Arabidopsis thaliana: one gene and its partners. The protein of the gene in region 1 interacts with the protein of each later gene in a pairwise test. Each region holds a gene or a part of one and is shown in the gene's direction. Other genes may lie near its edges.

Region 1 (4,616 bases):
GATGACATATATTCTCCTTTTCTCTACTAAACAACCTATTTCATGTTTAAATATTATATTTTGTTTTGTTTGATTAATTATTTTATTGTGTTCGTATTAGGTTTGTTAATTGACCCTTTTCTATCATGCTAATATGTCACTTTCTGATTTATTATTACATTAAAGTAGGTGGTCTAATAGTAATTATTTATATGAATAGTTTTAAACTATCAAATAATGCTGTATACTATATATATTTTTCCAACTAAAAAATTATATAGTTATGATCCTTTGCGTCAAGTTTTTATTATTGCTTTGAAGAAAAAACATATTCAACTACTTGAAAATTACGTTAGCTTACCGTACGTGTGTTCAAATTTAATATGCTACAAAATTGTGTGAACAATATAATAGGTTTGTTGTATTTATTCGTTTTTCACCAATCTGGAGATATTTTGTGGTACAAGTATTATAACCACAATATATTCCATACATGAATTAGTTGTGAGAGTTATAGTCAAATTGGTTGGGATTCAAGAAGCATTATACTATTATTATAGAGTCCCACCAATTATTTTTGAACTCGTAAAATTCTCAAGATCTTAGAAATGTCTCCGTTGAAGCTTAGATTGTCTTTTACTCACCTTTATTAGTTTATTTATACGTCGTATTCTTCAATTTCAAAATACCTTTCATATATGAATTTGGGTGATATGCACACGAACACGATACGGTGAAATCAATTAGTTCCACAAGTCAAAATAGCTAGAAAAGAAGTATTGGATTTTAGAACAAAGAATAACGAGAGTCTTATTGTGTTTGTTACTAGTTTATAGAATCTAAAACAGGATTGCAAAAAACAAAAACATCAAAAACGAAGATGAGAGATGAAAAAAGAAAATCTTAGATTATAAAGAGCCCTAATTGTATTGCTAACTAATATTATATTCTTCTTTTAACGAGTTCGATTTTTCGAATAAAATCTACTTTAGTTAACTATTGAGATTCTTACAACAAAAAGGTAAAAAGAAGTGGAGCATCAACAAGCTTTATGTATTTGCATTGAACTAGCATGGGTCAACCCTTAAAAGAAACCGAGAAGCACAAAAGGTTGAATTGAACCTTGACCCATCTAACACCATAGGTTTTTAGGGTATTTATTCATTTATTGAATTCGGAAACTCGAAAAATAAAGTAGCTAGTTCATTCCAGTGATTTCAACTTTTTAAGTATATAATCCCCATGATTATGTATGTATGTGGACATGTCCACGAAAAGAGTGCCCATTTTCATATCAAGGAAGTTAGTAACTCTGACCAAAAGTAGATGTTTTAACACATCTTAGTATTTTTATATCACACTAAATTAAAGTAGTCTGTTTAATGTATTCTCTTAGAAAATAACATAATGATTTGCATGCACATAACAAATCCTATACTATTATTTTGGTAAACAAATTTGGTTTTGGAAACATCTAACTCTAAAAACCATCATTATTATTATTATTATTTTTTTTCTAATATTTTGGCATCCTACAATTTAGTTTATGATTGTGTTGATTATTATTTGGTTGTATTTGCATCTACACATTAAGTTAAACATTGATTTTAAAAATTAACATGAACAAAATGAATACTTACTGTTAAAACCTTATAACAATCAGATTTTTTTTTTAAACAAAGAATGGAAAAAAATGAATAAATTTGGGAAACGAGGAAGCTTTGGTTACCCAAAAAAGAAAGAAAGAAAAAATAAAAGTATTGAATGTGGAGATGAGAGGAAAAAAACACTTACTGTCATCTTACCCAGTTGCGTCATCATCAAACCCACAACACTCTCTTCCTCTTCCCTCTTCCTTCTGCTTATTTTACTTTTTCTCTTTAACCATTTTCCCGAGAGAGAAAAATAAAAAGAAAAGCTTTCTCTGGGTTTTTCTTGATTGGTCAATTACACATCTCCCTTTCTCTCTTCTCTCTCTCACCTTCGCTTGCTTTGCTTGCTTCATCTCTTTGGTCTCCTTCTTGCGTTTTCTATTTACTACACAGACCAAACAATAGAGAGAGACTTTAAGCTATAGAAAAAAAGAGAGAGATTCTCTCAAATATGGGTTAGTCCACAATTTTCACTAAACCTCTTCTTCTTAGGATTGTTTTTAGGGTTAGGGTTTTGAGGTGAGGAGAGCAAGTATGCGGGAGTTTCATCCTTTTTGAGTTACTCTGGATTCCTCACCCTCTAACGACGACCACCGTCGCCGCCGCCGCCGCCGTCTCGACGAATATGCTCTACCAATGTCTGACGACCAATTCCATCACCCGCCGCCTCCTTCTTCAATGAGGCACCGTTCTACGTCGGATGCGGCGGACGGCGGCTGCGGCGAGATTGTTGAGGTGCAAGGTGGTCACATTGTTCGGTCTACCGGAAGAAAAGACCGCCACAGCAAAGTCTGCACGGCTAAAGGGCCACGTGACCGGCGCGTGAGACTCTCTGCTCACACGGCGATTCAGTTTTACGATGTTCAAGACAGGCTTGGTTTCGACCGACCTAGCAAAGCCGTTGATTGGCTTATCAAAAAGGCTAAGACTTCCATTGACGAGCTCGCTGAGCTTCCTCCCTGGAATCCCGCCGATGCAATTCGCCTAGCCGCTGCTAACGCTAAACCCAGAAGAACCACCGCCAAAACCCAAATCTCTCCGTCTCCGCCACCGCCGCAACAGCAACAACAACAACAACAGCTTCAGTTCGGTGTTGGCTTCAACGGAGGAGGAGCAGAGCATCCGAGTAACAACGAGTCGAGTTTTCTCCCGCCGTCAATGGATTCAGATTCGATAGCTGACACTATAAAGTCGTTTTTTCCGGTGATTGGCTCTTCAACGGAGGCTCCTTCGAATCATAACCTTATGCACAACTATCATCATCAGCATCCGCCGGATTTGCTTTCTCGAACTAATAGCCAAAACCAAGATCTCCGTCTCTCGCTGCAATCGTTCCCGGATGGTCCACCGTCGCTTCTGCACCACCAACATCACCACCACACCTCTGCTTCCGCCTCCGAGCCTACTCTGTTCTACGGACAGAGCAATCCGTTAGGGTTTGACACATCGAGTTGGGAGCAGCAGTCGTCGGAATTCGGAAGGATTCAGAGACTAGTGGCTTGGAACAGCGGCGGTGGCGGCGGAGCAACCGATACAGGAAACGGAGGAGGGTTTCTGTTCGCTCCTCCTACTCCTTCAACGACGTCGTTTCAGCCAGTTCTTGGCCAAAGCCAACAGCTTTATTCTCAGAGGGGTCCCCTTCAGTCCAGTTACAGTCCCATGATCCGTGCTTGGTTTGATCCTCACCATCATCACCAATCCATCTCCACCGACGATCTCAACCACCACCATCACCTTCCTCCACCGGTTCACCAATCAGCAATCCCCGGAATCGGATTCGCCTCAGGTGAATTCTCTTCGGGTTTTCGCATACCAGCACGGTTTCAGGGCCAAGAAGAGGAGCAGCACGACGGTCTCACTCACAAGCCGTCCTCTGCTTCCTCTATTTCTCGCCATTGACAATCGAAACTAATCCTCTAAGTTTCAGGTTTATCTCAAGTTCTGTCCTTTTACATCAAATTCACTACTTTTGTACTTCTTTGGTCATTGAACTTTAAACCATTTTGCAGGGCTTGTCTAGCTTCCATGCACATTGAAGCTTGACTTAGATTGTCCGGAACAGGGAAGGTGTTCTCGGTTTGTGTAGTCAATGGCCTGAATCTAGAAAACGCAAGGAAATGAAGAAAGAACAACAGTTTCAGGTTCTTCTTCTTCTTCTTCCAATATCTTAACCTTGCCGATTGTAATTTTTCATATTTTCACCAGTTAGACCAACGTTCTTCTGTAGCTCAATTATGGTTAGATTCCAAGGTTTCGTCTTGTTGTGTTATGTTTGTAACTTTGTATCATCATCATCCTATTGTTACTGCTCCCTGTTCTTATTGTGTAACTCCGTGGATGTTCTAATAAAGTCTGAAACTTTCTCTTTGGGTTTTACTTTTACTGCTCTGTTCAGGCTAGATCCTTGTTATTTAAACAACATGAGATTCCTATTTCTCACGTAATCTTTTGGTCCCAAGAGATATAAGTTGGTCATTTTCCATGAACAGTAAGTTTTGAATTGTTTCTTCTTCTGGAACATCAGGGGGATTTAGCCAGTTCCCTTAAATTACAAGTGAAACTTAGCTCACTAAGAGTAAAAATATGATTATTGTTTTCTATGTCTGATGTCAATAATTGTTCTCTCTCACCTACTTTAGTGGTAGGAGGAGATCCACCAAACTTGAATGTGATGTTGTCTTTGATGAGTAAAAGAATGGGGACATGAGATAGGTAAAGAGAGCCACCCATGTTGGTCTAAATGAAGGAAGTTGATCAAAACTAGTCTATCTTCTCTATCATCATCATCTTTTGATAATAATATTGGATTTTTGCAAAGTTTAGTCAAAAACACTTGGGGTCTAAATGCATGTGTATTATAAGAATATTTAACTTTACCTTTTAATAGAAAAGCAGCAACACCTTTTCATGTGATGTAATCAAAACACACCAGATGGATGAGTTGAGATATCATAAAGTACGTTTACATCAAAAGATAGAAAAGAA
Region 2 (3,428 bases), on another chromosome or scaffold:
TAATCTTATTGTTCAACAAATAATTTCAACAGGACATATATATGGATCACTACTGTTAAAACGATATAGTAGAGCTTAAGCGTTAGGATTTGTATTATTAGTTGTCTCTCTCTTTTACAGACGCGTGGAAGGTACGCGCCGTCATAGGAACATTGTCGGTAATCCCCTTCAAACACCAGTAGTCAGTAGATCGATGACTTGAATTACATCACTGTCCCCTACTTTGACCAATAGAGATCTAAAGGTTTCCTTTCTTGCATTATTGTGCTAAAACCGACATTTACTTAAGTTACTTGATTATGTCTTGGAAAAAAAAAAAGATTTTAACTTTGGGAACTTTTATTCAACTGAAATTTTAAAGAATTATTTAATTTGGAATTCCTTCTATAAATTTACTGGCTTTTACCGTTATACGTTACCATAAACTTATATATATGATCAAATTCGACCGTGATGAATGATCACTTTTTTAACTTTCCATTCAGATCAACTGAACCCCCTTACTTTTTCTATATATACTCTTTTAAGCACTTGTTTATATATTATCAACAAATTAAGGTGTCGAAAGTAACATACAATTAGACAAAGCATGTATAGTCAAAAAGATAGATAGTCATCAATTTTGAAAAACGAGCAATTTACATGATCCTACAAAACAACAAAACTAACTATATGAAATATCAAGTTTATAATCATTTTTAAAAATACCATTACAAAAGATTTGTACTTTGAATATAATTTAACATGAAATTTAGAAAACGATCTGTTTAAGAATATAACTTCTGCTATGTGGTATTTTAACTGGTACTTTATAGAGAAAAAAAGATTGGTAATTAATGTGATATTTTTGCAATCCATATTATATATTCGAGAGATTTTACTAATGATAGTACTTGATTAATCATTAGAGAAAACTAAATCTTACAAATATAGGTAGACATGATGAATAATATGCATGATTTGCGTTTCGTAAATTGATAGTACCACCTCACCTAAAGGGGGTCCAAACGAGTTGCTTCATATCACAATATCCAATTTTACCAACATACATTAATATATGTGTATTCACATATATACCTCGTGATTAATATTTTTTTTAAAATCATTTTTCGTTTGTTTCCTATACGTCTAATCAAACACACACGTTACAACTAAAATTATATTGACAATATAGCTCGGTTGGTAAAAGCAACGACTACTGCAGTTTCCCTGAAAAACTTAAGACCAGTACTAAATATCAACTATACAAATTAAGTTGATATCAGTTTTTTTGGGGGTAAAGTAATCCAATATCATTCTAAAATTAAAAGCAAAATGTCGTTAGTTATACATGTTAGAGACGAGCGTTGTGTTTGAGAAAAAAAAGAGTTATGTCGTATAGTGGATTCGACGTAAATATTATCGATGGTTGGTTTCAAACCTGAAAAATTACATGTCATATTGTCATCAAACATCGATTTTCATTTGATATAAGAAAAATATATTTACAAACACAATCGTGTGTGTGTGTATGCATCATGATTATATGCATGTTAGTGTTAGAGTTACATATTCTATAGAATATGTAAATAGTTAGAAGCGTACGTTCCTTGAAAATTGTTCAAAGTATTTCTATTATTGTTTTCTTTTGTTAAAGTATTTCTATTATTGTCTCAACCACCTAATTAAATTAAATAACGTCTCTATCTCTTTCTATGGAGTCGTGTTACGTCTTTCTAGTTTGAGATCTTCTACTACTTGTTTTCTTCAAGAATAATAATTTTCGTTTTATATATGGAAGATGCTGGTGAACATTTACGGTGTAACGATAACGTTAACGACGAGGAGCGTTTGCCATTGGAGTTTATGATCGGAAACTCAACATCCACGGCGGAGCTACAGCCGCCTCCACCGTTCTTGGTAAAGACATACAAAGTGGTGGAGGATCCGACGACGGACGGGGTTATATCTTGGAACGAATACGGAACTGGTTTCGTCGTGTGGCAGCCGGCAGAATTCGCTAGAGATCTGTTACCAACACTTTTCAAGCATTGCAACTTCTCTAGCTTCGTTCGCCAGCTCAATACTTACGTACGTATATATGCTTCACTGTTTCAATCAGTATTTTAAACTATTTGTGTTTCTTTGAGTTTACTAAGTGTATTTGCTTAATTAAAGGCATTAATGAGTGTTGTTACAAAAATATTATAGGGTTTTCGAAAAGTAACGACGATAAGATGGGAATTTAGTAATGAGATGTTTCGAAAGGGGCAAAGAGAGCTTATGAGCAATATCCGAAGAAGGAAGAGCCAACATTGGTCACACAACAAGTCTAATCACCAGGTTGTACCAACAACAACGATGGTGAATCAAGAAGGTCATCAACGGATTGGGATTGATCATCACCATGAGGATCAACAGTCTTCCGCCACTTCATCCTCTTTCGTATACACTGCATTACTCGACGAAAACAAATGCTTGAAGAATGAAAACGAGTTATTAAGCTGCGAACTTGGGAAAACCAAGAAGAAATGCAAGCAGCTTATGGAGTTGGTGGAGAGATACAGAGGAGAAGACGAAGATGCAACTGATGAAAGTGATGATGAAGAAGATGAAGGGCTTAAGTTGTTCGGAGTAAAACTTGAATGAAACTAGATTGCTAGATTGATATTCGTAATATACCAGTTTCTTCATATTCTTAGAAGTTTTGCATAACTATATATAGTACTCTTTTAAGACATGCAAGATCAGAACATATGTCCGAGAAATATCGGATTCTTTGCTGTATTGGTTAAGTCTCGTGTTCATAACATGGTACATCGTGTGTATATATATAGCCATTAACTAAGAGAACGTTTTCTCATGTATTTGCGAAATTTAAAACTATTTTGGGTAGATGAGATGAGTTACATCTCACTTTGGGCTGTGGTCAGGATGATTTTGGTTATGTAAGCCGCGTTAATAATGGTATCACTAGCTGCAAAATGGTTGAATTTTGGTAAATCTCAACTCTCAACTTTCAACTCTCAAAGCAGGCCTAGAACTAGAAGTAAAAGATTGGCATTCTCTTATTTCGAATTTAGGCCAGAACATACGGCACATTAGGGTTTTTTCCAGATTTTTAGTTGATGGAAGATAAAATATGAGGCATCATGTATATAGACATTAAGACCACAGGTTTCTCATGTATATGTCATATTTACAACTATGTTGAGTACGCAGATGAGATTATAATAAGTGATCAGATCTCTCTTTGGGCTATGGTCACAAAGGGTTTTTGTTGTACAAGCCGCAATAATGGTTTCACTGGCTATGAGTTAGCTGCAAAATGATTGAATATGGTCTCAAGTGTGGATTGACTTATACTGTATTCAGCTATTCCCAGCCGATTCCTGCCATAGAATGAAGCAAATTTCTTTCCTCAGACTTACAAAGACTGATGTTGTGTG
Region 3 (6,501 bases), on another chromosome or scaffold:
TAATTTGTATTTTTCTGATCATGCTTGGACAAAAAAAATGACTCGTTCAGGTTAGAATTTAAAATTAAGTGTATGCGTCATATGACACAATGCTCTCGTCATCTTGTGTCTAACAGAGTGAAATAAAGAACGAACAATTGTTTGTATACACACAAATACAATCGCACCTACATGTGCACATATTTTATTACGCTTATCTATAGAAAACTGTTTGATACATTTTTTCATTCTAAAGTAAATACACAATCCAAAAAATACTATGTCATGTTAAGAATGTTTAGTATATCTATTTATTTTAGGACAAGGAACATTTAACATATAGTAAACAGTTTTAACAAAATTTCTCTGATTTGAAATATATTTTTTATATTATCAGTAAAAAGAAAACTGTAAAGGTAATTATAGTCGTTGATTAAGATTATACTTAGTTTTTTAAAATAACATGTTTTAAAAATTTTGCAAAATAAGTTTTTTTTTTTACATGTCTCATAATTTTTGTCCTCAGTTTATGTTAAAAATATTTTGTTATTTTGATACTAACATCTTCCATACGCTGAAAACATCTTTGAGAATATTTTTCAAAACACAATATACAAAAATCCACAGTGACTTTATTCCACGATGAAATGATATCAAGACATATATGTTCTTACCTTTACCTTTCAACGAAAATGAGAGAAAAAATATATATATATAGTATCACTTTTAGAAAATGTTTTTTTTTGCTAATTAATTATTATATAAAAATGTTGAGAGCAACTTGATCATATATGTAATAAAGTCGCAGTGAAAAAAAAAATGTAATAAAGTCGCATACCGACGTTGTGACTCGTTTTTATGTAATTGATTAGTTAAGTACAGAGTTCGTTAGATGTATTTGCATTGTTACAATTACAGAAAACCCTACGCAACACAATTCAGTACTTTTTACGTCAGCAAAAATAGAATCTTTCGTTGAAAATAATACCAGAATCGTTCTTGTCTTTAATTTTCTTACCTTTTTGTAATTGGATATGATTTTTGACTATGGAATTATTATTATTTTATTCTATAAAATTATAGTTTTTATTATTGGAATCATTTATAAATGCTATTACTCAGTGTTCTTTAAAGTCCATACTAACGAATTCAAGTACTTATTTAACAAAACAAAACAAACAAATACTAATAAACTAAAAGTACAAACATTACTATGTTATTAAAAAAAGCATATAGCTGCGTGATTTTAAAGGTATATGTGACATATAATACAACGACGCCGTCGTATTTTATTGAATTTTTTTGTCACTTTTAATTAGTATACAGTGAGGAAATAAGCAAAAAGAAAGAAAAAAATATTGTTGGCTCGGCTAGTACCTATAAATAAAAACACTAGTATTTGGCCCAGGATATAATCATTGCAAGTTTAGAACTAGTTAGCTAATCTAAACCGTTAGATCAAAGAAGCAATCTTACTAATCAGAAAAACAAAATTCAACAAGTTACAAGAATGAAAAAAATAGGGATAAAAAAAAGGATAATTCATTTACATTCGATCAAAAGGCGAATGCATAGATCATAGATGCAAGACACTTGTGAGTTGTGATATAACCAAAAATTTATTTAATTATATGTAATATATATTCGAAAAATTTATACACCGTATATAAAATATTCGAATAATCCTTTTCTTTGATTTAAAAATATTTTCTGCTTGTTTTCTCAACTCATGTATTAATTTAAATAATAAAAGTAGCTACCACCTTTCTCTGCCCCACTTTAAGATAAAGCTAAAGCATGGAAAAAAGCATGGGAAAAAAGTAAATATATGATATACAATCAAATAAATCTAAAAAAATAGAAAAGAAAAATTAAAGGAACGAAAAAAAGAGGGAGGAAAAAGACAAAATTAAAAAACAAAAATAAAAATTCCAAAAAAATTAACATCACATGTTATCAAATGAGATCAAAATTTAAGTTAGTTTTGAGTTTTCTCTCTCTTTCTCTTCTCTAAAACTACTTAAGCTAAAGAATCAAACACTTCTCAACGTTTCTCCAAAGCCTCTGATTAGTAAACACATAAAGAGATCTATAGAGAGAGAGAGAGTAGAGATAAAAGGTGATGAATAGAGGTGTGTTGGAGAGTTCGCCGGTTCAGCAGCTGATGGCAGCCGGAAACCCTAATTGGTGGAACGTAAGCGGCGGCATGAGGCCACCACCACCGTTGATGGGTCATCAGCAGGCGCCGTTGCCACCACATATGACTCCTAATAACAATTATCTCCGACCACGGATGATGCCCACTCCCTTCCCGCACTTCTTGCCATCTCCGGCGACTTCTTCTTCTTCCTCTTCTTCTTCACCGTCTTTGCCTAATAACCCTAATCTCTCTTCTTGGCTTGAAAGCAATGATCTCCCTCCTGAGTCTTGGAGCCTTAGCCAACTTCTTTTGTAACTATCCCTCTATCTCTCTCCCTCTATAAATATTCCAAAATGAAATATTCTCTATACGCACATGACATGATCTTGTGTTTACTTACTAGTTCACTCTTTGTTTTCTCGTGTGTTGCTACTTAGTCCTAATTACCTTTTTGTTATACGTATATACGTATATACATGTATGTGTTTGTATTTTAAGTATCAAACAAACAATCTAATATTTTGGATATTTTCTTTGTGAACTTAGGGGTGGATTGATGATGGGAGAGGAAGAGAGATTGGAGATGATGAACCATCATAATCATCATGATGAACAACAACACCATGGTTTTCAAGGGAAGATAAGATTGGAGAATTGGGAAGAACAAGTGTTAAGCCACCAACAAGCTTCCATGGTGGCTGTTGACATCAAACAAGAGGGTAACATTAACAACAACAATGGCTATGTCATATCTTCCCCGAACTCACCTCCTAACAAATCTTGTGTTACAACAACTACCACAACAAGCCTCAATAGTAACGACGATAACATCAACAACAATAATAATATGTTGGATTTCTCTAGCAATCACAATGGTCTTCACTTGTCAGAAGGGAGACACACTCCTCCGGATCGATCCTCTGAGGTAACACTTTTTCCACATCTCAGAGATTTTGATAATATACGGAAAAAGCTCGGAAATAATATCTAGTTTTACACATAAATTAGTAAACACATCAACTACTATGAAAAAGTGAAATCTAAAACGTCATTTAAAAAGATCAGGACAACATATTTTATTTTAAGGTTTGGATCTAAATTCAACACGCAACCAGGATGAGTTTTGCTCTGAATTTTTTTTGATTAAATGACTAATTGATCTTTGTTTTGTTTGTTATCTATATATGTGATGCAGTGTAACAGCTTAGAGATTGGTGGGTCTACTAATAAGAAGCCAAGGCTCCAACCTTCTCCTTCGTCACAATCAACCCTCAAGGTAACTAATTGATTATATCAACGAAACTTTGGATAACTTATATAACGTTTTCTGTATATAAATTCCCTCCCTGACATCATACTAACAAAACAAAAACACAAACACAAAGGAGAACAGAAGAAGCAAACAAAACAGAATGGGCACAGAATAAGCTGTGTGGTTTTGTGTTTTGTAACTCTTTTGTTCTCTCCTGTTTTGTCTTCTTCTTCATTCTTCAATATTCCTTTCCTCTCTTTATTTCATAAAAATCAAACTTAAATTAATAAATTTCAACATTCTCCTTAGAATTAGACGACACTATATGTAATAAATTTTATTTTATAGAATATGGACATTTTGAGAGATTTCAAAGTTCTGTCAAAAAAAAAAAGAGATTTAAAAGTTTTGTTTTTTTCTGTAACTTGTTTTGAAACGTAGAAATGGAAGAGTCGCATTAGACATTGGATTCAATAATATCATGATAATTATATATACTAGTGAAAGTAAAATAATTGTTTATCACTTGTACATGCTAAGTAAGCACGTTTTCTCTATGCATGGTAATTAGTAAAAATAATATGACCACACATGCACATATATATAGAAAGCTTTTTAATTGATGCTATTAATTAATCTATGGTGGTAATTAAAGGTGAGAAAGGAGAAACTAGGAGGCCGAATCGCAGCGCTTCATCAGCTAGTATCTCCATTTGGAAAGGTAAAGATCGATTCCATTAACAAATCAAATTTATTAATGTCGTCTAATATTCCTCTATCAAATCAACTTTTAACATTAATTGTGGAGATTTTTTTAGTTTCATTCTTGTTAATCTAAAATCTAAATCATTCTTCATCCCTTTTTACCCATCTTTTGCAGACTGACACAGCCTCTGTCCTGTCGGAAGCTATTGGATACATTAGATTCCTTCAGAGTCAAATTGAGGTGTGACTCGTCTTTTCCAAACTCCAAATATTCTCATTCAGTAAAATAAAAATAATGCTTATGATTACTCCGTTTACCAAAAAAAAAAAGAAGAAAAAAAGGTTGTGATTACTGAGAAATAAATTACAGAATAAAGCATAATGATATTATATAAGAAAGAATAAAGATAGTAGTATAAAGTTTTGTTCTCTCCATGTTAAGTAATATTTGATTGATGTGATTATATATAAAGTATTTATGACTTTTTGCAACTGTTGCACTGTTGCAGGCTCTGAGTCATCCATACTTTGGTACGACTGCCTCGGGGAATATGAGGCACCAACAACATGTAAGTAGCAAATTTTCGTATATATACTGATATACACAAACAAATCATCATGCTATCGTTTTATACCCTTAACTTCTTCTTTTTCGATAACCTACACGAAACTTTTTATACTTATATATTATCTCTTAAGTCTTAACTATGGTTTATATGAATAGTTGCAAGGAGATAGGAGTTGCATATTTCCTGAGGACCCTGGTCAGGTACGTCCATTTTTTCTTGGTCACTATACTTTTAATATATAATTAGAGTCACTATACTTTTTATTGGATCAATTGAATCCAAATCTAAAAAATGTGGACAGCTTTAGTTTCCAAAATTTATCCTTTTTTTTCTTTTGTTTTTTTTCTTTTCTACTGTTTTCTTTAAAGTAAAGTTGGATTAATATTAAAAGATGCAGCGGCCAGCTTTTTTTTCACCCTCCCTTACATTATTATAAACCAAAAAAGTTCGTTAAAACCAACAAAGCCACTAAATTTATTTAAATATCAACTTTTTCTCCTTACTTGTTTTCTTCATCTAAGTGAAATTCAAATTCCTTTGGCGGGGTTTTATATATGCTTTTCACTAGGGGAAATTCAATGATTTTTTTTCTTATCACCTCTTTATATAGGTGTTAGAGAACATGTGTTTACTTTTTTTGTTAATCAATGCTATATATCATGATTGTTTTTTTTTTTTTTTGATATGGTTTTAGCTCGTGAACGATCAGTGCATGAAGAGAAGAGGAGCTTCGTCGTCATCTACGGACAATCAAAATGCAAGTGAAGAGCCTAAGAAAGATCTGAGAAGTCGAGGTTTATGTCTTGTCCCAATCTCATGCACACTCCAAGTAGGCAGCGACAACGGCGCGGACTATTGGGCTCCAGCACTTGGCTCCGCCGGTTTCCATTGAGCCAATGAAATTACGCCACGTGGAATTCCAGCGTTAGAGAAAAATGATATAACATCACGAGCAGTCAGTCTACTGAGAAAACAACAAATTGAGTTTCCAAGGCTGATTGCTCATGATGCTATACAAAGTTCTTCGTTTAAAACTTTGCTAGAGAATTTGCGTCTGGCGTCTGATGAATATGCGTTTGGCGTTTCATCATTTGATGCGTTATCAGATGATATGACCAAGTGATCAATTTATGTTCTTGCTTTAGGAAACTGTTTGTTTTCTTTTACCGGTTAATTGTAATTTGTGGTTAAGTACTTATTTTAATTACTTCCACGTGGTTTGTATCGTTATAATTTTGCTATTACTTATAATATGTCTATTGTGTGGGATATATACGACATGCAGACCATTAAAATAAAAAAGTGTGCCGGAAAATATCGATATAAGTTACTTCGTTTGCCTTTTTCATGCGTAGTTCTTAATTCACGTAAATGATCATCCACAATGAAAAAAGAAAAAGAACGAAAAAGTTCAGAAATTATGAATCTTATTAATTATTATTGATAATTATTTTACTTCACTCCACCATATGTGTGAACTAGTGGAGCCTTGGAGGATCACTAACAAAGAAGAAAATAAGAAACAAGATATATCATCACTTTTTGAGAACTTGCTCTTCATTTAAACGGTTCATTTCTTCTCTTTGAAGTTACGATCATCAAAGAACTTCTTAGGGTTGCTCTCAAAAGCCTCCCTCTAAACGCTTTGTCGTCCACCAGATCCAGGAGCAACCATTGTTTTACCGATGTCGGAAGTGCTACCAGAACCACCGCTTCCGCCACTCGTACCAAAATTCTTGGCTCCATCAGCTTTGGTGTTCTTGGCGTCCATGGCTTGATTTTGGGATTGGAAACGATTATAAATTGAAGGTTTGGTTATTTTGTGAATCATGAATTCGACTGTTGAGACTTAGAAA

What was found. The genes of interacting proteins can lie anywhere in the genome.
Region 2: the proteins of TCP4 (region 1) and HSFB3 interact in binary tests that used the Arabidopsis thaliana proteins (3 or more experiments, as listed by UniProt).
Region 3: the proteins of TCP4 (region 1) and AT4G29100 interact in binary tests that used the Arabidopsis thaliana proteins (3 or more experiments, as listed by UniProt).

What each region holds. Positions count from the first base shown.
Region 1 is NC_003074.8:5,060,041-5,064,656, forward strand, and holds TCP4 (TCP family transcription factor 4), read left to right. Parts: upstream 1-1,640; 5' UTR 1,641-2,267; coding exon 2,268-3,530; 3' UTR 3,531-3,558; intron 3,559-3,640; 3' UTR 3,641-4,112; downstream 4,113-4,616. UniProt on the Arabidopsis thaliana protein: Transcription factor playing a pivotal role in the control of morphogenesis of shoot organs by negatively regulating the expression of boundary-specific genes such as CUC genes, probably through the induction of miRNA (e.g. miR164).
Region 2 is NC_003071.7:17,379,950-17,383,377, forward strand, and holds HSFB3 (heat shock transcription factor B3), read left to right. Parts: upstream 1-1,697; 5' UTR 1,698-1,773; coding exon 1,774-2,070; intron 2,071-2,190; coding exon 2,191-2,628; 3' UTR 2,629-2,902; downstream 2,903-3,428. Other genes in the region: ABCA1 (ATP-binding cassette A1), read right to left, coding at 3,290-3,371. UniProt on the Arabidopsis thaliana protein: Transcriptional regulator that specifically binds DNA sequence 5'-AGAAnnTTCT-3' known as heat shock promoter elements (HSE).
Region 3 is NC_003075.7:14,339,039-14,345,539, forward strand, and holds AT4G29100 (basic helix-loop-helix (bHLH) DNA-binding superfamily protein), read left to right. Parts: upstream 1-1,926; 5' UTR 1,927-2,101; coding exon 2,102-2,430; intron 2,431-2,665; coding exon 2,666-3,044; intron 3,045-3,314; coding exon 3,315-3,395; intron 3,396-4,026; coding exon 4,027-4,092; intron 4,093-4,251; coding exon 4,252-4,317; intron 4,318-4,585; coding exon 4,586-4,645; intron 4,646-4,800; coding exon 4,801-4,845; coding exon of another isoform or gene 4,846-4,887; exon of another isoform or gene 4,888-5,339; coding exon 5,340-5,537; 3' UTR 5,538-5,975; downstream 5,976-6,501.